Linked DNA regions of Anolis sagrei. The protein of the gene in region 1 binds, or shares a complex with, the protein of each later gene. Links are inferred from orthologs where the notes say so. Each region holds a gene or a part of one and is shown on either strand. Other genes may lie near its edges. The genes, in order: ODAD4, ODAD3 and CLXN.

Region 1 (8,308 bases):
ATTCCAGACTGTGAATTCAAAATAAGAGAACTATGCTCAGTATAATGCAGAAAGGGGACTATAAAAATGAAACACCACTCATTTATCTGTTATTATGATTATGTTTTATTAGACAATAAATAACAACTTTTAAAATGATAAGAAATAAGAATATTATTTAACTACAAATCAGCATAAGGGGGTTGTTACTTTGGAATATATTTAATTTTATTTAGTTTACTAGCAAAAGTTGAAAACCTGCATATTATAGTATATGTATATTATATTAATATTATATATTAATATTATATTAATATTATAGTATATTATAGTATACATCCCCCCCCCTTTGTGGGAAAGCTTGATACCACAACCCCCGTTTTAATGAGCCCTCCTCCGCAAATAACCTGCTTCCCCTTATCTCACCCGAGTTTTTAATCAGTTTTTAATTAGTTTTTCTTTTAATCATTACATGTAGCCCGCCAGTGGCGCAGTGGGTTAAAGCCCTGTGCTGGCAGGACTGAAGACCGACAGGTTGCAGGTTCGAATCTGGGGAGAGGCGGATGAGCTCCCTCTATCAGCTCCAGCTCCTCATGCGGGGACATGAGAGAAGCCCCCCACAAGGATGATAAAAACATCAAATCATCCGGGCGTCCCCTGAGCAATGTCCTTGCAGGCGGCCAATTCTCTCACACCAGAAGCGACTTGCAGTTTCTCAAGATGCTCCTGACACGGAAAAAAAAAGTAGCCCGCCCACTGTCATTGTGATTGTGTTTATGGTAATTTTATATCATTATGCATTCATATGTTTTATGTAATTATTATGTTGTTGTTTATTGTTTGTGTTTTTGGTTTTATTCTGCTGTAATTTGTTGTTTGGGCATGGCCTCATGTAACCCACCCCAAGGCCCCAGTGGGGAGATGGTGGCAGGGTATAAATAAAGATTATTATTATTATTATTATTATTATTATTATTATTTCCCATGTCAATGGAGCAATAAATCTGCTCCTATTTTAGGGTGGCTTTCAACCTATTTTGGTCCTCAGGCAATCTTCTTCCTGAATTGGGTGTCTTTTCAGGCCTCCCTCAAAATTTGTTGCCAAATGCTGACATATGTTAATGCTCCAGAATAAGCTTTAATTGTAGTAAGTTGTGCTGAAGGTGGCATGATTGCCCAAAGACTTACAGAGGCCCAGTTCACTGCAGGAGCTGTCTAAGGTGCTGAACCTATTTTGTCCTAGTTATGGAAAGCCTAAAGTGAACCTATCATGGGTTTTCGTGGTAAGATTTGTTCAGAAGGTGTCTGCTATTGCCTTCCTCCAAGGCTGACGTGCCCAGGATCACCTATTAGGACTCTATAGCCTAGAGGACATTTGAACCCTCATCTCCAGAGTCATAGCCCAGTGCTCAAACCATTAACCACAGTGGATGTAGTACATTGGACAGAATTGCAGGTTATGAATGGATTCAGTGCCCACTAATTTGGAAGCTGTCAGTCACTACTCATTTACCCAGCTCTCACACTAAACTTTAGATTTAGGGCCACCCTAAGGACTTCATCACATGCAATAAAACCAGCTTTTCAACACAGTTATGAAACAGCTACTTATGGAGCCCATCACATGACTCAAGCTCATACTGTGGGTTCCAGGTATTTTGCCATTTCTAAAGTTTGTTTTTCCCCCTACACTTCCTAAGCCAATTGGCATACTACTCATCCTGTGCAATATGCAACAAAACCAAGATTACAACAACATCTGTTATAGAACTCCAATATATTGATTACAACGTCATCTGCGTGCATTCAGAAGAAGACCTACAAGCCATTCTAAATACCTTAGCAGAAGCATGCGAGAAGCTTGGCCCGTCATTGAACATTGAGAAAACCAAAGTGCTCCTCCAGCAGTCACCAGCCAACCCTTTTCCAATGCCAGATATACAGCTTAATGGTGTAACATTAGAAAATGTTGACTATTTCCTCTACCTTGGTAGCCACCTCTCCACAAAAGTCAACATTGAAACCGAAATACAACACTGCCTGAGCTCTGCAAGTGCAGCATTTTTCCAAATGAAGCAGAGAGTGTTTAAGGACCAGGACATCCGTAGGGATACCAAGGTGCTTGTTTATAAAGCTATTGTCTTCCCAAACATGCTGTACACCTGTGAAACATGGACTATCTACAGACATCACATGCAACTCTTGAAACGATTCCATTAGTGTTACCTTTGAAAAATCCTGCAAATCTCTTGGGAAGACAGGTGGACCACCAGCACTTAAGCGATGGTTCTCTGCCATCAACTCTGCTGGACCGGCCACATTGTCCAGATGCCCGACCACCGTCTTCCAAAGCAGTTGCTCTGCTCTGAACTCAAGAATGGAAAATGGAATGTTGGTGGGAAGGAAAAGAGATTTAAAGATGGGCTCAAAGCCAACCTTAATAACTCTGACATAGACATTGAGAACTGGGAAACCCTGGCCCTTGAGCACTCCAGCTGGAGGTCAGCTGTGACCAGCAGTGCTATAGAATTTGAAGAGGCACGAATGGAGAGAAAGAGAGAAACGTGTCAAGAGGAAGGCACATCAAGCCAACCCTGACTGGGACTGCCTTCCACCTGGAAACCAAGGCCCTCACTGCGGGAGAACATGCAGATCAAGAATAGGGCTCCACAGTCAAATACGGACCCACTGCCAGTTCACTGAACTGGGAAGACAATCTTACTCGGACAACAAGAGATTGCCTAAGTAAGTAAGTAAAGTATGCAACATGCAATAATGCAGTTAGATCCTTTTTTCTTCTTGAGTTAAAGATCCTTTAGAAGTTACCTCTTCAATTAAAATGTGTATTATTTAACTTATTCCCAAATGTTGTACACAAGACCTGCCTTTAGGGAAGGAAATCTTACTGCTCATTTTGATGACAGGCAGCTGCTCCAACGCAAAAAAAGAAAGGAGTGAATGGAGTTAACTGGCGCCACTGTTGCCTCTACATGCATTTGATCTATCACACCATGTCTGGGTCTCTCCTTCTCTTCTATGAGCCATTAGATCCACCTGCGCTATGAACCGGAAAAAAGAAAGACAGAAGCAAAACAAACTTTCCTTCACATCTTCTGAACCTGCTGCTACCTCATCAAGCTGGGACTGGATTTCTCCTCACCTCACAGAGCCCATTACTGTAACTGCCTTGTGGGCAGCGGAGGAAGACGGGAACTGGTATAACTGCTGCTTCTGCAAATTGGCTCCTATTTTAATGACACATTGTTGTTCCTACAGGCGCTGTGTAAATTCACTCTGGGCCTTGCAGGCTGAACAGTAGGATAAAAAATTATAATATATACACAAATCAACTTGCCCTGGGAACACATATGGCAACACCGATCTCTAATACAAATATATATCTACAAGCCACTCTAAACACCTTCACAGAAGCATACGAGAAGCTCAACCTGTCATTGAACATCGAGAAAACCAAATTGCTGTTCCAGCAGTCACCTGCCAATCCCTCTCCAATGCCAGAGATATAGCTTAGTGGTATAACATTAGAAAATGTTGACCATTTCCGCTACCTTGGCAACCACCTCTCCACCAAAGTCAACATCGACACCGAAATACAACACCGCTTGAGCTCTGCGAGTGCAGCATTTTTCTGAATGAAGCAGAGTGTTTGAGGACCAGGACATCTGTAGGGATAACAAGGTGCTTGTTTATAAAGCTATTGTCCTCCCAACTCTGCTATATGCCTGCGAAACGTGGACTGTCTACAGACGTCACATGCAACTGCGTTGCAGTCTGGTGATCTGAAAAATAAGGTAATGAGAAAGTGATGGTTTCTAATATATGTAAAATTTTATGCTTGTGGGTAAACAGTATTTCTTGCTGTTTCTTTGTCAGTGTTGATGTGGAGATTGTCTGGTTTGCCTACTCGGGAACATGGAACATATAATTGTCCATTTTGGGGTGTCCCTTTCAAATCTATGATATCTATGTGTGAATCATATCTATCTATCTATCTATCTATCTCTATGGCTGAATACCTCTTTGTCAGGAGGGCTTTGATTACGTTTTCTTGCCCTGGTGAAGGGAGTTAGACTGGATGGTCTTTTCTGTTTTCTGTTGGTCATTTATTTATTTATTTACCTTACTTATATACCGCTGTTCTCAGTCCGAAGGCGACTCACAGCGGTTCACAACAAATACGAACAGCAAAAATTCAGTGCTACAGTATAGAAACAGTTAACAACCTAACACATTACACAATTAATAAACAGTTAATTGTCATGGGGGTTCTGTGTGGGACGTTTGGCCCAATTCTGTCGTTGGTGGGGTTCGGAATGCTCTTTGATTGTAGGTGAACTATAAATCCCAGTAACTACAACTTCCAAATGTCAAGGCCTATTTCCTCCAAACACCATCTGTGTTCTTATTTAGGTATATTGAGTATCCCTGCTAAGTTTGGTCCAGACCCATCATTGTTTGAGCCCACAATGCTCTCTGGATGTAGGTGAACTACAACTTCTAAACTCAAGGTCAGTGCCCATCAACCCCTTCTGGTGTTTTTTGTTGGTCATGGGAGAACTGTGTGCTAAGTTTGGCCCAATTCCATCATTGGTGGAGTTCAGAATGCTCTTTGATTGCAGGTGAACTATATATCCCAGCAACTACAACTCTCTAAAGTTTGATTGATTTGGTTGATATTGGTTGTCTCATTGATTTCTATTAGTAATGAGGACAGCCAAAGAGAAAGCAAGGATCACATTTTGGCGGGAGTGCAACAATGGGAAGGGATGGAACTATAAGACAGCCAACGCAAAGGAGCCGCCTCCTGGCGTTGCTCAACTTTTTTGACTCCTCCGAGGACCCGTTGGGTTTCCGGAAGTGCTGGCGTTGCTAAGCAGCGCGTTGCCAAGCAACGTTGCAGCGTCCTCCTCGGCCTTGCCAGCTCTAAGGATGGTGGACTCGGAGGGCGACGCTTTGCGGGGGACCTTCCCCAGCTTCATGGCGGAAGGGACGATGCTCAGCCAGCGAGGAGAGCTTACCAAAGCCCTCGCCTGCTACACCTACGTGAGAATATTCGGGAAGGGACGGGAGAACAAGGGGGCATCTACACTGTAGAATTAATGCAGTTTGACAGCACTTTAAGTGCCAAGTCTTAATGCTATGTGGGTGTACTTTTGGAAGGCCTTTAGCCTTCTCTGCCAAATAGTGTGTGGGCCTCATCAAACTACAAATCCCAGGATTCTATTGCATTGCGCCATGGCAATGAGAGTTGAAATTTAGTTTAAAGTAGTGCCACTGTAAAACATTAAGAATAATAATAAAACTATAATAATGAAACTTTATTTATACCCGCCACCATCTCCCCAAGGGACTCGGAGCGGCTTACATGAAGCCAAGCCCAATAACACAACAATAAAACAGAAAAGTGATAAACAAAACAATACAATGCAATACAAATTAATATAAATCACATATAACAACAACACACAAGGATTAAAAACCTATGGCCGGGCCAAATGTAGTAATTTAAAATTTAAAAATAACCCTAGGCATGAACAAGGTGGAATATATCTGGAAGGAGGGTTTTAAGAAGTGAGCGCGCAGTCCAACGCAATCCAGTAGTTAAAGTGCATTGGTAAGGGCATTTTGCTGGGAATTATTTCTTTATTCCGGGAAGGCACACTGGAACAGCCACGTTTTCAGTCTCCTCCTAAAGACTGCCAGAGTTGGGGCATGCCTGATGTCCCTGGGGAGTGAGTTCCAGAGTCAAGGAGCCACCACAGAGAAGGCCCTGTCCCTCGTCCCCACCAATCACACTTGCGATGGAGGCAGGAGTGTGAGCAGGCCCTCTCCAGATGATTGAAGAGATCGCATGGGTTCGTACACAGTGATGCGGTCACGCAGGTAGGCGGGTCCTAAACTATTTAGGGCTTTGTAGGTAAGCACCTGCACCTTGAATTGGGACCGGAAAATGAATAGCAGCCAATGGAGCTCCTTAAACAGGAGGATTGACCGCTCCCTGTAAGGAGCACCAGTTAACAACCTGGCTGCCGCCCATTGTACCAATTGAAATTTCCAGGCCGTTTTCAAGGGCAGCCCCACGTAGAGTGCATTACAGTAATCCATTCTGGAGGCGACTAAGGCATGAACCACCCTGGCCAGATCCACCTTCACGAGGTACGGTCGCAGCTGGCGCATGTCTTAATTGTGCGAAGGCCCTCCCAGCCACCGCCGACGCCTGAGCTTCAAGCGTAAGTGATGAGTCCAGGAGAACACCCAAGCTGCGGGCCTGTGACTTCAGGGGGAGTGCAACCCCATCCAACACAGGTTGCCACCCTATACCCAGATCTGGAGGACCTCTGTCTTGTCAGGATTGATCTTCAGGATTGATCCTCATCCAGACAGCCACTGCGGCCAGGCACTCATCCAGCACCCGAGGGGCTTCCTTGGAGTTAGGTGAAAAAGAGTAGTAGAGTTGGGCGTCATCTGCGTAGAGGTGGCACCCAACTCCAACACAATATTGGAGGGAGTACACCTTTTGAAGTTGTGAGAACCATAAGATATCTCTGTTGTCATCTGTGAAAGGCAGAAGAAAAGGGAATGGTCAGCTAGCTACTGTGATAATACCATTGACGGTGAATACCATATATTTGTTTGTTAGGCCCTGCAGCTCCAGCCAGCAGACAGGAACTGCCTTGTGGCCCGCTCAAAGTGCTACCTAAGACTAGGAGATACGGAAAATGCCTTGAGGGATGCAGAAGACTCGCTGGCAGCTGACAAGGAATTTACCAAGGTGGGCAACTAGTAGATCAGGAGGCTTACTTTAATCTTAAGGGCTCTCTTACTCAGTTCATTAAGGAATTTTTGGATGAATTATGTGAAAGATGTTATAGATATTTTTCTCCTTATTTATTTATTTATTTATTTACCTATGACATTTATATGTCGCCTTTCTCATCCCGAAGGGGACTCAGAGCAGCTTACAAGTAATATGTAAATACAATATATTATATAACATAGCATAATATTAGTATTATACAGGGTGAGGCAGCATAACTTCCTTTTTTCAAAACTTAATAAAACCCATTGTATGACTCAGAATTTTTTTATTTTTTTTAATAATGTAGGCACATACCTAAAGTTTTGTTTTACGTAGTTTTGAAGATCAAATTAAGTAGGTGACATCCCCCACTCTCCATTATCCATACATTGAGTAAACTGATTTCTAGCATTTGTCATGACTCTTGCCAGCATAGCAGGCGTTATGTTGGCAATTTCTTCCTGGATGTTGGTCGTCAAATTTTGTAGGGTCCTTGGACGGTTCACATAAACCCGGGATTTTAAAAAAACCCATAGCAAAGAATCATAAAGGGCCAAATCTGGAGAGTGGGACGGCCTCTCCAAATCTACTCGAAAAGTAGGGCTCAATGGCAAAAGCACGCTCCTCACTGTTCCATGATGTTCCATGACGCATGATGGTGACTGAACTGTGTCAGCACAAAACTTCCGCCTCTCGAACAAGACCATTAGTGCTCTGCTACGTCTTCAACCGACTGAATGGCGCACATTTTGAAAAATGAAGTTATGCTGCCTCAGCCTGTATATTACTATATTGGTCTACACCATTATACTGTAATATTATTAGTAATATTACATGTAATATAAAGTTGCAGTTACTGGGATTTATAGTTCATCTATTATTAGTAATATTGTAGTTCACCTACAATATTACTAATAAAATTACATGTAATATTACTAGTAATATTACATGCAATATAAAGTTGTAGTTACTGGGATTTATAGTTCATCTATTATTAGTAATATTGTAGTTCACCTACAATATTACTAATAAAATTACATGTAATATTACTAGTAATATTACATGCAATATAAAGTTGTAGTTACTGGGATTACATTATAATATTATCAATATTATATGTATATACAATATATTATATTACATTATAAGCACAGCACAGGAGACAAGATGGAACTGTTTTCCTAGCCCTCTCTTCACTCTGGACCCAGAGCAGCAGTTGGACTCCCAACTTTATCATCCCACAAAGGACAAAGTGTAGCTACCAACTGGTTTAGAAAAAAATATTTTGTATGCAGCATTTATTTGGGATTCAGTAGCGCAGTTGAGGGAACTCCTGGTGGTGCAGCAGGTTAAAACGCTGAGCTGCTGAACTTGGTGACCGAAAGTTTGGTGGTTCAAATCCAGGGAGCAGGGTGAGCCTGCTGTTAGCCCAAGCTTCTGCTAACATAGCAGTTCGAAAATATGCAAATGTGAGTAGATCAATAGGTACTGCTCTGGCAGGAAGGTAGT
Region 2 (8,079 bases), on another chromosome or scaffold:
TTGGGGGGGGGGCTGAGTTTCGGGGGGGACTGAGTCTGAGTGAAAGAGGGTCTAGCCTAGCAAACCTTTTGTATCATTACCCCAATACCCCCATGCATATGGGATACATTAAGTATGGTGATCAGAATATGATATGAATAAACATAACAGTTTAAATAATGCACCAATAAGGCCTTTTCGCGAACCACCATGAGAATTTGGGGGGGGGGGGGGCTGAAGCCTGCTAAAACCCATATCAAGAAGACAGCTTGCTGTTGTTGTTTTTTGCCATTCGGTTGTTTCCAAGTTTGGTGTAATTTTCTTGGTAACGTTTGCTGAAAAAAGGTTTCATTGAATCATAGAATCAAAGAGTTGGAAGAGACCTCATGGGCCATCCAGTCCAACCCCCTGCCAAGAAGCAGGAATACTGCATTCAAATCACCCCTGACAGATGGCCATCCAGCCTCTGTTTAAAAGCTTCCAAAGAAGGAACCTCCACCACACTTCGGGGCAGAGAGTTCCACTGCTGAACGGCTCTCACAGTCAGGAAGTTCTTCCTCATGTTCAGATGGAATCTCCTTTCTTGTAGTTTGAAGCCATTGTTCCATTGCGTCCTAGTCTCCAAGGAAGCAGAAAACAAGCTTGCTCCCTCCTCCCTGTGGCTTCCTCTCACATATTTATACATGGCTATCATATCTCCTCTCAGCCTTCTCTTCAGCTCCTTAAGCCGCTCTTCATAGGGCTTGTTCTCCAGACCCTTGATCATTTTAGTCGCCCTCCCCTGGTCACATTCCAGCTTGTCAATATCTCTCTTCAATTGTGGTGCCCAGAATTGGACACAATATTCCAGGTGTGGTCAAAGCAAAGCGGAATAGAGGGGTAGCATTACTTCCCTAGACCGCCTTCCACCTGGAAACCAATGCGCTCAACTGTGGGAGAAAATGCAGATCAAGAATAGGGCTCCACAGTCATCTACGGATCCTCAAGAATACTGATCCTGGAAGACTATCCTACTTGTCCAACGAGGGATTGCCTAAGTATTGTACTATGCTAATAGTATAGTGTATTGTATGTATATATACCTTGTAAGCCGCTCTGAGTCCCCTTTGCGGTGAGAAGGGCGGCATATAAATGTCGTAAATAAATAATAAAAAAATATTGTAGGATTATCTGCCTTGATATCTGGGTTATTTATTTATTTATTGTGCCATCAGCAACAATACCATTGTATTACATTTCTAACAGAACAAAACAAACAAGCAGAAAAAACCCCACAAATTTTGCCAACTTGGTAGTTGATTAAATGTCCTTTGACCAGTATCTGGCCACTTGGAGTGCCTCTGGTGTTGCCACAAGAAGCTCCTCCATTGTGCATGTAGCAGGGCTCAGGTTGCATTGCAGCATGTGGTCAATGGTTTGCTCTTCTCCACACTCTCATGTCGTGGATTCCACTTTGTAGCCCCATTTCTTAAGATTGGCTCTGCATCTCGTGGTGCCAGAGCGCAGTCTGTTCAGCGCCTTCCAAGTCGCCCAGTCTTCTGTGCGCCAAGGAGGGAGTCTCTCATTTGGTATCAGCCATTGGTTGAAGTGCTTTATTTATTGTGTCATCAGCAACCATACCATTGTATTACATTTCTAACAGAACAAAACAAACAAGCAGATAAAAAACCACAAATTTTGCAAACTTGGTAGTTGATTAAATGTCCTTTGACCAGTATCTGGCCACTTGGAGTGCCTCCGGTGTTGCCACAAGAAGCTCCTCCATTGTGCATGTAGCAGGGCTCAGGTTGCATTGCAGCATGTGGTCAATGGTTTGCTCTTCTCCGCACTCGCATGTCGTGGATTCCACTTTGAAGCCCCATTTCTTAAGATTGGCTCTGCATCTCGTGGTGCCAGAGCGCAGTCTGTTCAGCGCCTTCCAAGTCGCCCAGTCTTCTGTGTGCCCAGGAGGGAGTCTCTCATCTGGTATCACCCACGGATTGAGGTGCTGGGTTTGAGCCTGCCACTTTTGGACTCTCGCTTGCTGAGGTGTTCCCTGAGAGAAGCCTCCTCGCAGGATTGCAAGACATCCGGGCGTTCCCTGGGCAACGTCTTCGTAGACGGCTGATTCTCTCACCTCAGAAGCAACTTGCAGCATGCAAGCAAGCAAGCAAAACAACCAACGGACCTTTTCAGGACCAACCATGACAATAATCTCAATCAACATTGAAAGCATGTCAGCTGCCAAAGAACAACTGCTCTATGAACTGTGCCAAGATAAGAAATGTGATATTCTGGGTTATATTTATTTATTTACCTTACTTATATACCGCTGTTCTCAGCCCGAAGGCGACTCACAGCGGTTCAGAACAAATACGAACAGCAAAAATTCAGTGCTACAGTATAGAAACAGTTAACAACCTAACACATTACACAATTAATAAACAGTTACTACAATACCCATTCACTGTCGTCTCGTCATCAAAAACATGTTCCAGATTTGTCATCCATTGTTCCATTCCAGTGTTCATTAACCAATCATTGCACTAATTATTGGAACGCCTGCTCAAACAGCCAGGTCTTCACCTTTTTGCGGAATGCCATTAGAGATGGTGCTAGTCTAATGTCCGTAGGAAGGGCGTTCCACAGCCGAAGAGCCACCACCGAGAAGGCCCTATCTCTCGTCCCTGCCAGCCGAGCTTGAGAAGCAGGCGGGATCGAGAACAGGGTCTCCCCGGAAGATCTCAAAGTCCTGGTGGGTTCATAGGCAGAGATGTGGTCGGATAGGTAGCTTGGGCCGGAACCGTTTAGGGCTTTAAAGGCCAACGCCAGCACTTTGAATTCAGCCCGGTAGCAGATCGGTAGCCAGTGGAGTTGGCGCAACAGGGGGGTTGTATGCTCCCTGCGCTCCGCTCCTGTTAAAATCATGGCTGCCGAGCGTTGGATTAGTTGGAGCTTCCGAGCTGTCTTCAAAGGCAACCCCACGTAGAGAGCGTTGCAGTAGTCTAAACAGGATGTAACCAGAGCGTGGACTACCGTGGCCAAGGTAGACTTCCCAAGGTACGGCTGTGTGAAAGGGCCCTGAGTCCACACTGCCATACAATCCAGTATAATGTGGATTTTATACAGCTGTGTGGAAGGGGCCTCCACCTTTGGAGCAGGCCTTACCTAGCAGCTGTATCTTCTTCTGGAGATCTGCAATCTGCTCATGGACGGGGGGCTTTATTCCTTGCTGGGCCTCTGTCACAGGCATGGTAGTGGCAGGTAGTCAAAAGCTGGAGAAGGTGAAGCAGGTGGAGGAGGGGCGACACTGTATTGACTTGATGGCAAGTCACTAGTCTGCAGCAACCATTGGCAACCCTGCAGGAATTGTGCTGCCAACAAGGGAAATGGTGCTTGTGATCGATAGGGGGGGAATAAATAAAATAAAAGGTTCTACAACAGTCTGTTCCTCTGCTGCATAGCTTCCTTGGTGCTTCTGCCAGGCTTCTCTTTTTCTCCTTTCCTTCTCTGCCAGGTTGCATCTGGCTCAGCAGCGCCTCAGCATCCTTAAGCTGGGCCCGTCTCCATGGTGACCGGCTGCGATGCAAAGCACCTATTGGCCGCGGCCAATCAGCAGAAGCATTTTCCGCCACTCTCAAGATGGCCGCCCGAGGAAGTGGCATGTTGTTGCCTCGCTCAAAATGGCGCCGGGAGAAGCACAAGCGGGAAGGAAGGAGCAATCTCCGCCTCTTTTCCTTTCTCTCAGAGGCGGATGTCCTGCCGTCTGCTTCCGGCGTCGGACGGGTGAACTTCGGACCGTTTTCCACGCGGGTTTCCGTGGCCGGTTGAGGGTAAGGCTCCGTGAGGGGGTGGAAAGGGGGCAGAGGGAGCCGAGAAGAGGGAAGTGGGGCTGCCTTTCCGGGCTGAAGGTGGGCCAGAAGCCGCCACCAGAGCCGGAGGGGGAGGCACGGCACGGGGGCCATTCATTTCCAGTTTGATGTATCAACATATATGTTTTAACTACATGCAAAGATACATTTTGGTTATACAAAAAGAAAAGGGGCTCACAAAAAAAGCTTAACAAATGCCACAACTACAGAAAATTACATCAATATACTAACTGCAATAATAACAATAATTAACAATAATTGATAATAATTAATAATAATAATATGGAGCCCCCGGTGGCGCAGTGGGTTAAAGCCCTGTGCCGACAGGACTGAAGACCGACAGGTCGTAGGTTCGAATCCGGGGAGAGGCGGATGAGCTCCCTCTACCAGCTCCAGCTCCTCATGCGGGGACATGAGAGAAGCCTCCCACAAGGATGATAAAACATTAAAAATCATCCGGGCGTCCCCTGGGCAACGTCCTTGCAGACGGCCAATTCTCTCACAACAGGACACTCCTGACACGACAAAATAATAATAATAATTAATAAAACTTTATTTCTACCCCGCTACCATCTCGTACCTTGGGAAGTCTGACTTGGCCGCGGTAGTCCAAGCTCTGGTTACATCCCATATAGACTACTGCAACGCTCTCTATGTGGGGTTGCTTTTGAAGACTGCTCGGAAGCTTCAAATGGTCCAGCGTTCGGCAACCAGGTTGCTAACAGGAGCGGCACTCAGGGAGCATACTACTCCTCTGTTGCGCCAGCTCCACTGGCTGCCTGTTCGCTACCGGGCACAATTCAAAGTGCTGGCGTTAGCCTATAAAGCCCTAAACGGTTCTGGCCCAACTTACCCCTCCGAACGCATCTCCTCCTATGAACCGACTAGGACACTAATTTCATCTGGGGAGGCCCTGCTCTCGGTCCCGCCTGCATCACAGGCACGCTTGGAGGGGATGAGAGACAGGGCCTTCTCAGTGGTGGCCCCTCGGCTGTGGAACACTCTGCCTGCAGATATCAGATCGGTCCCCTCCCTGCTGGCGTTTTGGAGGAAAGTGAAGACCTGGCTGTTCGAACAAGCATTTGATTAAACAGTGTAATACATAGGTAAAGGTAAAGGTTGTCCCCTGACATTAAGTCCAGTCATGTCTGACTCTGGGGTATGGTGCTCATCTCCATTTCTAAACCGAAGAGCCAGCGTTGTCCATAGACACCTCCAAGGTCATGTGGCCAGCATGACCACATGGAGCGCCGTTACCTTCCCGCCGGAGCAGTACCTATTGATCTACTCACATTTGCATGTTTTCAAACTGCTAGGTTGGCAGAAGCTAGGGCTGACAGTGGAAGCTCACACCGCTCCCTGGAATCGAACCTGTGACCTTTTGGTCAACAAGCTCAGCAGCTCAGTGCTTTAACCCACTGTGCCACCGGAATAGAAATACGGAATAATGGATGATGAGACTGGATTCTGATTTTACTGTTGAGGCGCTAATGATTGTTATACTGATGTTTAATGATTTATGTTACAATTGTTTTTAATTGCCCTATACTTGTCTCGTGATGTTTTGTATCGATGTTGTTCACCGCTTTGAGTCGCCTGAGGGCTGAGAAAAGCAGTATATAAATAAAGTAAGTAAATAAATAAATCTCCCCAAGCAACTCAGTGTGGCTTACATGAAGCCAAGCCCACAGTAAATCAACAAACAAAGGCAATAACAAAAACAATCAATACAATACAATTAATATAAATCACATAAACAATAAACAGTAACACACAAGCATTTAAAAACCTATGGCCGGGCCAAATGTAATAGTTTAAAATTTAAAAAATAACGCTAGGCATGAACAAGGTAGGATATAACAGGTATAGGGTTTTCAAAGAGAACTGAGGGAGTGCAGTCGGTCCTAAATCAATGGTAAAGTGCATTTTGAGGGCATATTGCTGAGAGTTTTCCTTATTCTGAGAGGGCACACTGGAACAACCACATTTTCAGGCTCCTCCTAAATACTGCCAGAGTTGGGGCGTGCCTGATGTCCTTGGGAAGTGAGTTCCAGAGCCTGGGGGCCACCACCGAGAAGGCCCCCTCCCTCGTCCCCACCAATTGCGCCTGCGAAGGAGGTGGGAGCGCGAGTAGGGCCTCTCTAGATGATCGAAGAGATCGCGTGGGTTCGTACACAGAAATGCAGTCACACAGGTAGGCAGGTCCCAAACCGTTCAGGGCTTCGTAGGTAAGAACCTGCACCTTGAATTGGGACTGGAAAATGAACGGCAGCCAGTGGAGCTCCTTAAACAGCTTTCCAAACATTTGCAAAGCTTTCCAAACATTTCACGTTGATGACACGCAGCATCTCACGACACAGTCATTGAGGCCCCATCTCCACTGCCATATACAATCCAGATTATCTACTTTGAACTGGATCATATTGAAGAGACTTAGGGCCATTCCACACAGCCATGTAACCCAGAATATCAAGGCAATACATCCCACACTATCTGCTTTGGACTGGGGTATCAAGAGTCCATATTCAGATAATAATAATAATAATAATAATAATAATAATAATAATAATCTTCATTTATACCCCGCCACCATCTACCCATTTATACCCCGCCACCATCTACGCCACCATCTACCCACGAGTCCATCTACCCAAGAGGACTCGTGGCAGCTTACATGAGGCCAAGTCCAGCAATACAATACATCAATATAAGGCGTACGGCAAGGCTGCATACTCTCACCCAACCTTTTTAACTTGTATGCAGAACACATCATGCGATGTGCGGGGCTGGATGAATGCAAAGCTGGGGTGAAAATTGCTGGAAGAAACATTAACAACCTCAGATATGCAGATGACACCACTCTGATGGCCGAAAGCGAGGAGGAGCTGAGGAGCCTTCTAATCAAGGTGAAAGAAGAAAGCGCAAAAGCCGGGTTGCAGCTAAACGTCAAAAAAACCAAGATTATGGCAACAAGAATGATTGACAACTGGAAAATAGAGGGAGAAACCGTGGAGGCCGTGACAGACTTTGTATTTCTAGGTGCAAAGATTACTGCAGATGCAGACTGTGGCCAGGAAATCAGAAGACGCTTACTTCTTGGGAGGAGAGCAATGTCCAGTCTCGATAAAATAGTAAAGAGTAGAGACATCAGACTGGCAACAAAGATCCGCCTAGTCAAAGCCATGGTATTCCCTGTAGTCACCTACGGATGTGAGAGCTGGACCTTAGGGAAGGCTGAGCGAAGGAAGATCGATGCTTTTGAGCTGTGGTGCTGGAGGAAAGTGCTGAGAGTGCCCTGGACTGCGAGAAGATCCAACCAGTCCATCCTCCAGGAAATAAAGCCCAACTGCTCACTGGAGGGAAAGATACTAGAGACAAAGTTGAAGTACTTTGGCCACATCATGAGGAGACAAGAAAGCCTAGAGAAGACAATGATGCTGGGGAAAGTGGAAGGCAAAAGGAAGAGGGGCCGACCAAGGGCAAGATGGATGGATGGCATCCTTGAAGTGACTGGACTGACCTTGAAGGAGCTGGGGGTGGTGACGGCCGACAGGGAGCTCTGGCGTGGGCTGGTCCATGAGGTCACGAAGAGTCGGAGACGACTGAACGAATGAACAACAACAACAAGCAGTAAATTGTAAAAATAAAAATACAATACAAAACCAATTATAAATAACACATCAATAATATAAAATCACGACGTTTGAAACACAGAAGTCAAACACAATGGGCAGGGCCAATAAAATAGATTTAAAACACACAATAGTCTTGATTCTATACTTTTTGCTTAATCTGTAGTTCTGTTTAATTACTTAAGAAATGTATGTGTATTCAATTAAACAACTGCGTATGTATTAATCTGCGTGATTAGCAAAACCACACTATATGTTGTTGAAGGCTTTGATGGTCAGAATCACTGGGTTGCTGTGAGTTTTTGGACTGCATAGCCATGTTACAGTAGCATTCTCTCCTGACGTTTCACCTGCATCTATGGCAGGCATCCTCAGAGGTGGTGAGGTCTGTTGGTAATGAGGCACATTATCTGCTTTGATAATCTGGATTATGTGACAGTGTTGATCCAGCCTTAGAGATTTCGTGTTACATTCACGCAGCATCCTACAACTGACATGCTAATGTGTCATAATACAATTTGGAAAGCTGTGTTTTATGTACATCTACAATAACTATGTTAAATTAAATTATAAAAAATATAGATATTACACTCTTTCCTCTCTATGATTTTCAAAAA
Region 3 (8,210 bases), about 58 Mb from region 1:
AGCTAGGCAGGAGTCCCAAGTTCAAAGCTTTCGATTTATTTTTCCTATCAACTCCAATGCTGTTCAACCACCCTCTAGTCTTGAAAGCATCCCCTGCAATTAATAATGAACAACATCCTTATTCATTGCCCTATCGAATACATCAACCAGCAAAATTATTTTTAAATTATTTTGAGAAAGAAAGAGAACAACTCAGCACTTAAAAGATCGTTATTCCCAATTTTGTGGCACAATTCCTTTTAAACTATGAGACTTTCAAAAACAATTTTCCAATATAGCATGCAAGGTAGATCATATATTCAAAATGAAAGTAAGTCCCAGTAAGCCTTTTCAAGCCCCTGAAAACCTAAAGTAGCAACTCTGGATCTCTGCCAGATTTGGAAGTAATTCTTTGTCACCAAGTGGGAGTTTTGAAAACATGTTTATGGAGTTCTATACCCATAGCTTCTGGTGACATTTTAAACAGTTGTGTTGTGCTTTACATAGCAGTTAGTCATCTTGCTTGCCTCATCACAGCAATAAAAACATGCTTGTCATGGCGTATATTGCCCTATATATATTGTCAAAGGCTTTCATGGCTGGAATCACTGGGTTGTTGTAGGTTTTTCAGGCTGTGTGATTATGTTCTAGAAGCATTCTCTCCTGACATTTCACCTGTATCTATGTGAGTCCTCAATACTTCTGAGGATGCCTGCCATAGTTGCAGGCGAAACATCAGGAGAGAATGCTTCTACAACATGGCAACACAGCCCCAAAACCTACAACAACCCATTGCCCTATATGGCAGAGACTAGCTCAATAAGAGATGGTGTAAATATGTCTAATATAAATGACTCTTCTCCATTTTATGTTAATGCAATTTGGTGTGAATATTGACACACTGAATTATTTGGGTTATTTGGGGCACTTATTCAGAAAATTACATTGGATAGACCTCATCAGATCTGGTTTCTTAGATACGATTATCAGAATTTTCTATGGGTGAGCAGATGACAACTGCTATGTGGCATATGATCTGTATCTTAAAAACCAGAGCTGACAGGGGAAAATGGTGCCATTTTTGGAATCGGGTCAAATACACCCAGGGAAAAGGCCTAGCATTTGAGGCACCAAAATGTGTCCTTGTTTGCACAACAAACCCAAGTTTCCAATGATCACAGGAACAGAAAGTGAGGTGAGGGGCACAGGCGGCAAAATGAACACCACAGAGGTGGTGTTCCCTATGCTATATGAACCTAATACAGTAGAGTCTCTCATCCAATGTTCTGTACTATCCAACACAGTCTGCCTCCCACCTGGAATAATGTCAAGGGTGAAAGAAAGACCTCTTGTCTGTTTTGGTGCTAAATTCATACATACAGTAATTATTACATAACGTTACTGTGTATTGAACTGCTTTTTCTGTCAATTTGTTGTAAAACGTGATGTTTTGGTTCTTAATTTATAAAATCATAATGTAATTTTATGCTTAATAGACTTTTCCTTTAATCCCTCATTATCCAACATTTTCACTTATCCAACGTTCTGCCAGCCCATTTATGTTGAATGAATAAACAACAAATTTGGCTGGGGTTGTTAACACCTAAAAATGTACCTGTTCAGACTTACATGCCAATTCAAATTAAGAGCAAACCTACGGAACCTATCTTGTTTGTAACTTGGGAAGTGCCTGTATTTAAGATTTACAAGAAGGTATTCAATCTCACCTCTGTCCATTATCATATCGTCTGTCATTCCAAACGTGTCATGAAGAATATTTCGAAACGAGTTGCGATCCAAACCAATACCAGCGTATCTGTCGCTGGGCTCCACTTCCAACTGGTTGAAAAGCTTTATGAGGCATTCCACTTCAAATTTATTGACTATGAAACAAGTGATTATGATAATTAAAACAGAAAAAAGGAACACTGCCAATTGCCTGTGGCTAGGTGAAGTGGCTTTCTGTCATGTGACTGGGAAAGGAACCCCCGGTGGTGCAGTGAGTCAAATCCTTGTTCCGGCAGGACTGAAGACTGACAGGTCGGAGGTTTGAATCCGGGGAGAGTGCGGATGAGCTCCCTCTGTCAGCTCCAGCTCTCCATGCGGGGATATGAGATAAGCCTCCCACAAGCAGAGGCGGCTCTAGGTAATTTTCAATGGTAAGCAAACAGTATTTTGCCCCCCCCCCCCCCACAAACCAATCACTGATACATATTTTCTGTTTGTTGTGGGAATTCTGTGTGTCATATTTGGTTCAATTCCATCATTGGTGGAGTTCAGAATGCTCTTTGATTGTAGGTGAACTATACATCCCAGTAAATACAACTCGCATATGTCAAGGTCTATTTTCCCCCAAGAGCGCCTCAAGAGCGCCCCTGGGCAAAATCAACTATACTGCAAATGCTTACTTTGTGTAATGGGTTGAGCCGCCCCTGCCCACAAGGATGGTAAAACATCCAAACATCCAGGCGTCCCCTGGGCAACGTCCTTGCAGACAGCCAATTCAAGTGACTTGCAGTTTCTCAAGTTGTTCCTGACATGGCAAAAGAAATGTGACTGGGAAAGAAAGGGAGTGAAGCAGATAGGCTACTGCTAGGTGACTTATGTATCAGGAGACGGAGAGAGGAAGGAAGGGGGAAAGAAAGAAAGGAATGAAGAGGGGGGTTGAAGGAAGAAAGAAAAAAAAGAATGGAAAGAAGGAAAGAAAAAGAGGGGGATTAAAGAAAAAGAAGTAAAACAAGAAAAGGGAAATCATATGGGGGGGGAAGGAAAGAGAAAGGGAAAAGAATAGGGAAGAGAAAAGAAGGAAGGAAAGAAGAGCGGGGAAGGTGTAAGAGAAATCAAGGGAAGAAGGTAAGAAAGAAAAGAGGAAAGAAAGGAGGACAGCAAGGAAGGTTAGGGGAAAGAAAGCAAAAGGAAGGGAAGAGAAAAGGCAGGGAAGAAGGACGGTGAATGGGGGAAAGCAAGGGAGGGAGAAATGGACGAAGGAAACGGCTGCAAAGTATGGATGTGGAAATAGGTAAGATAGGGGTCCTGTCTGCATGAAAGAAACCCGAGAGGCCTGCCTCGCGCTCACTCACAGTGCTTGGCGGTCTTGCAGAGAGATTCGGCTAGTTTCTGCAGCTTCTTCCTGTTCATCTTGAGCTCTGTGCGGCCGGAGGTTACCGTGGCAACGGAGGACTCCGGCCTCCCTGCGGCCAAGAATAGAATGCAGGCCTGGGCAAAGTTGGGCCGTCCTTCCAGGTGTTTTGCACTTCAACTCCCACCATTCCTAACAGCCTACCTCGGAGGGGGAAAGGGAAGGGGCCTGAGGTAGGCTGTTAGGAATGGTGGGAGTTGAAGTCCAAAACACCTGGAAGGAAGGCCCAACTTTGCCCACAGTTGCTCAAAACACACACATAGAATCAAGAGAGGCGGGAACCTTTTAAAACAGATTTTTACTAAGTGTCTGGCAGTAATTCTGTATACCGAGACATAGGTTTGCATAACAAGGTTCTGCCACTGAACTTGCGTCAAGTTAAAATCAGCTTCAATATGAAGCTGGTTGAAGTCACCTCAGCTTTGTACATGCTAAATATCTTCAGCAAGGGTGCGCTTAAAACATAAGCACGTATGCAATAGGAACTCATATCTGTAAGTAATGCGGTTATGCGGAACATAATTTTTAAAAACCCACTGATTACGACAGTTTTTTCCCCCCCTATTAAGTTTAAAATGGTACAAAATCATGCAATTCTAAATGCCTTAAATGACACACATCACAATTGAAGAAAACAAATGTCAGGAAAAGTTCAGTTAAACTTAACATCGCTTCAACTAATGGTTATCTGTATTATTAGCACAGTATTCAGTATTATTTTAAATCAATAGGAGTAAAAGCATCACATTCTGATGCTGCATTAGGCTGGTGTTTTTGCTAGCAGCTTATGCTACGTATATCGAATAAACTGAGAACCAAACTAGATAGGAATGAGTAGCCAGATGTGTTGCCTGTTGTTCAGACATAAAGCACAGGAACAGGACAAGAATGACATAATTATACACATGAATGGGGCAGCTACATAAACAAAGTAACATGGCGACCCATCTATCGTTGTCTGAATAATATTGACGCAACTGCTCTTCTGCAATTCCCATTGCTTTTAATGAGGCCTGCATAGGAAAGGTTCGCAGGGAATCTAGCACTCAGAAGAAAAAGGCTTCTGAAAACACCTCTGGAAGCACATCGACAGTCTCAACAAACACTGCTATTTGCAAAGATCAAGATATGCCCTCTAAATCCTTGAAGGCATGAATACCCCATGTCCCACTTGAGAAAGTGGGAGCAAAACTACACAACACATATGTACAAAAGTAACACCTGGGTGTTACTTGTATGTTCTCGTTTCAAATATGGCATCAATAGTAACAAAAATGTCATAGGATTTGATATGCCATACTATCACTTTTGAAGGGATTTCGCAAAAAATCTTCATCATGAAAATCTTCATTGCCAGAGGGTTAAAAAGGAAATGCCCCAAACCTGGTCTTGCTTATGGATCCACCAGGAGCTCTGAGGCCTACACAAAGTGTTGCTTCATTTATTATAGCTCATGAAGCTTATCCACATGCAGTTTTTTTATATGTGAATACGTTCTTTTCCTTGCAACACAGGATGACACCTGGTTGTAAGAGCTACATGTGTGCATTAAAACTCGGTAACGAGAAAAAACATTTTATCAATCCAATCTGATTCTGCTTTTGAATCATTTAAACCTTCTGTAGGACTTATTTCAAAACATTCCACACAAGCTATTGGAGGGGAGGGTAGTACATGTAATATATTAAGCATCAGGCAACATCAATGGCTATGTCCAGCCCAATGGCACCAGGCAAGCTGAAAGTGTCGAATATTTTGTTCACACACAGAAGAGCTCATGCAGTTGGTAGAGTTCATCATAATGTTCACAGTTGCAGTTCTTTCTAGACTCATTGCACTTTTTGAGAAGGAAAGTAAGACTCTTGACTGGTGTTATTCTGAGTGAGAGCTTGAGCTAGCTGTCTTCTTTTTCTTCTTTTTGCCATGTTTCTTGTGTTTCTTTCGCTTTTTTGTTTTATCCTTTGAAAAAGAGAAATATCAGAAACAATTACAGGATGCTGGAACCAAATGAGTCAAATTCTGGGCTAGCTAGGTATTATGTGCTTTTAAAAAACAATCAACCAAGGCCACATTCAACTTTAAGAATGCTTAGCAACAGAGCTACAGGTACGAAGGAGATTCGTTTACATGAACATAACGCTCTGGTTCTCTAAGAAAGAAATCCTTTTGTATCTGCAAGGCCCCAATACAATATTAGCTTCAAACAAATCTCTATATAAAATTCAGGGCACCTTGATTGAAACACCCTTCCAAAGCAAGGATAGTATCAATATTTCAAATATTCTGATTTACCATTATTTTCATCTTTATTACCATGCAGATGTTGGAATTCAACCCCACTTTGCCCTAGTTTTCAAGGAGGAACAGTTTAGTTAGCTTAGAATACTCTGGGGTTTTTCCTTCCATCACTCATTCTGATTAGTTGTGCAGAATGGATACTTTTCTACTGAAAGCCTTTTAAAATCTGACTTCTGTTTCTTACATCTGAGTATGTTTATTTACTTCATTTCTACCCTGCCTTTCTCAACCCCGCAGGGGACTCAAAGCAGCTTACAAATCTGGCAAACATTTAATGCCGCACAGATAAACAATAAAAGACATCTAATCAAAATATAAAATGATCTAAACACATAAGCAATTAAAATACATATCAGATTAAAATACAAACAGATTAAAAACCATCTAAAATCTGAGTCATCATCTCATATCCATATGTGCTTTGAGATCTCTCTCTGCTTGTGTGTCAGAGAGATATACTGCTTCGATGATTTTTCTCTCTCTTTGAAACCTTAGAAGAGATGGGTGTTAGAGTAGCTCAGACCCATTTCTTAACTATTAAGAAATGCAGTTATTTCTTATTATTGTAAATAAACCTTTTGTGTGTGTGTGTGTTTTTTTTTGTTTTTTTTTTTAAGATCGGGCTCTGCATCTTTGCCTGCCTAAGCTCTACATTCTTTACAGCAGGCATCCTCAAACTGCCGGCTTCCAGCCGTTTAGGGTTCCAACTCCCAGAAGTCCTAACAAGCTTGTTCAGTTGTCAGGAATTCTGGGAATTGAAGGCCCAAATAGCTGGAGGGCCGCAGTTTGAGGATGCTTGCTTTACAGCCACAAACAACGGCACTTCACACTCTGCTTGGTAATGAGTTGATGCTCTACTTTTGTATCCTGTTTGTTTTTGGATGCTCTGCTGTATATTTTAGGGTAGTTTTCCCTAACAGCCAGGACTTCCAAACCCAAAAGGTAGAATCCAACTAAGATAACCCACTATCAGAACTGCTTCTATCAGCTGAAAGAAAAGGGGGAATATCCCCAGTAGCACTACTACTACTACTACTATAGTGCTCCACGTGCCTCTAAAATTTTGCTGTGGAAAGTGAGGGAACACCCTGCAGTAGATCTCAGAAAAGATTACGAAGAGAAAGCCCCCTGACAGAAGCAGAAGTTTTCTTATGTAAATGCGGGGTTCTGTCCACAACAAAAATTGGGCAAAATTGTATTTAGATGGCCCTTGTGATCTCTTTCAGTTCTATTATTCTATTACTTATTTCTGTTCTTTCATGGAAATTCATTTAGTCAGATAATTCTGCTCTCACACTGGGAAATCTCAGAGCAATTACTGTTATGAGAATGGGATGTTTGTTGCAGCACAATTAATACTGTCTTAGGTTCCTTCTACACTACCAAATAATCCACATTATCTGCTTTGAACTGAATTATATGAGTCTACACTGCCATATAATCCTGTTCAAAGGAAATAACCTGGATTTTATATGGCAGTATAGAAGCGGCCTTGATGTCTTGGAGTAACAGAATAATGCTTACATTTCTCTCTTTTTCTTCACTGCTCTTCTTCTTTTTTGCTTGTACCTAAGGGAAAAATGATGAAACAAACATTTAATGGACAGAATAGGTATTAAAAATGCTGAAACAGAAAAATAACACACTACCATACTACATAGTAACCACGTCATGCTCTCTAAAATTTCTTCTATTTACCAATCTCCCATTTTTCAGTTAAAAAAAGTAGATACTGAACACTGCTTCACTTCAGTGCCAGGGCAGCTACAATCATATAACGATCCTCTAAATTTAGTCTGGAGTGGCAGATACAAAAGGAAAAATCATTTCTCATCTCCAGGAATGCACATGACTGAGATCTTAACTTTCCAGGTATTGTTTTACTAGTTCAGTGCTTTTTGTATGTATACCAACCTCTTCCGAATGCTCAGATTCTGATGAAGACTCCGACGATAATAAGCCATCCCCACGATCTGTGTTTTTCCTTTTCCTGCTAAGACTTTTGGTATCCTAGATACAACAAAAGGCACATTTATTTATTTACTGTATTTATATACCACCTTTATCAGTCCTAAGGTGACTCAAGGCGGTTTTAAATGCAGACAAATCAGAGACCTTTACCATGCTCAGTGTAAAACACCCTGATAACAGTATTTAGTACTTTAATTTCTTTATGGATTACTGTATATACTTGAGTATGAGCCATCCCGAATGTAAAAGCGAGGCACCGAATTTTACCACAAAAACCTGGGAAACTTATTGACTCAAGTATAAGCCAAAGGTGAGAAATGCAAAAGCTATTGGTAAAACATAGAGTAAAATGTTTTTTAAAAGTCCACTCTTTCTGGGCACTGAGTGGCCAATACCTGTGTCAACAGCATCTCCTTTGCCTCCTCCCTTACAAAGAAGGGGAAGTGTGAGGCCTTTCCTTCCGCCCTCTCACGCATTTCTTGTTGGTGGCGAAGGGAGCTGCAGCAACGGGCTTACTCTGTGGCCTTGCTTCCCTCCTAGGAGAAAGCCTGCTGCCACGGCTTCCTCCTCTGTCACCGAGGAAGGCATGCGCAGGAGGAAGGAAAGGCCTAGTGTTTCCCCTTCTTTGGCAGTGTGGAGGAGGGAAGTGCATTGGCGGCGAGCTTTCTCTGTGGTCTCACTCCCCTCTGAAGAAGGGGAAGCACAATGTCTTTCCTTCCTTGCCTCACAGGTGCCTTCCTTGGCCGTGGCGGCAGAAGATGAAGCAGCGGTGGCAGGCATTCTCCTCAGATGGGAGCAATGCCATGGAGAAAGCCCGGTGCTG

What was found.
Region 2: ODAD4 (region 1) and ODAD3 share a complex: the UniProt entries of both Homo sapiens proteins name them as parts of the outer dynein arm-docking complex. The link is inferred for Anolis sagrei from reciprocal best matches to the Homo sapiens genes ODAD4 and ODAD3.
Region 3: ODAD4 (region 1) and CLXN share a complex: the UniProt entries of both Homo sapiens proteins name them as parts of the outer dynein arm-docking complex. The link is inferred for Anolis sagrei from reciprocal best matches to the Homo sapiens genes ODAD4 and CLXN.

Annotation. Positions count from the first base shown.
Region 1 is NC_090026.1:44,925,053-44,933,360, forward strand, and holds the start of ODAD4 (outer dynein arm-docking complex subunit 4), read left to right. Parts: upstream 1-4,895; 5' UTR 4,896-4,929; coding exon 4,930-5,043; intron 5,044-6,640; coding exon 6,641-6,772; intron 6,773-8,308. UniProt on the Homo sapiens protein: Component of the outer dynein arm-docking complex (ODA-DC) that mediates outer dynein arms (ODA) binding onto the doublet microtubule. Plays an essential role for the assembly of ODA-DC and for the docking of ODA in ciliary axoneme.
Region 2 is NC_090022.1:163,758,127-163,766,205, reverse strand, and holds the start of ODAD3 (outer dynein arm-docking complex subunit 3), read right to left. Parts: upstream 3,550-8,079; 5' UTR 3,212-3,549; coding exon 3,127-3,211; intron 1-3,126. UniProt on the Homo sapiens protein: Component of the outer dynein arm-docking complex (ODA-DC) that mediates outer dynein arms (ODA) binding onto the doublet microtubule. Involved in mediating assembly of both ODAs and their axonemal docking complex onto ciliary microtubules.
Region 3 is NC_090026.1:102,547,038-102,555,247, reverse strand, and holds the start of CLXN (calaxin), read right to left. Parts: upstream 3,188-8,210; 5' UTR 3,118-3,187; coding exon 3,060-3,117; intron 1,863-3,059; coding exon 1,707-1,862; intron 1,461-1,706; exon of another isoform or gene 1,211-1,460; intron 1,175-1,210; exon of another isoform or gene 1-1,174. Other genes in the region: protein FAM133B, read right to left, coding at 4,991-5,077, 6,941-6,985, 7,331-7,426. UniProt on the Homo sapiens protein: Component of the outer dynein arm-docking complex (ODA-DC) that mediates outer dynein arms (ODA) binding onto the doublet microtubule. Seems to regulate the assembly of both ODAs and their axonemal docking complex onto ciliary microtubules.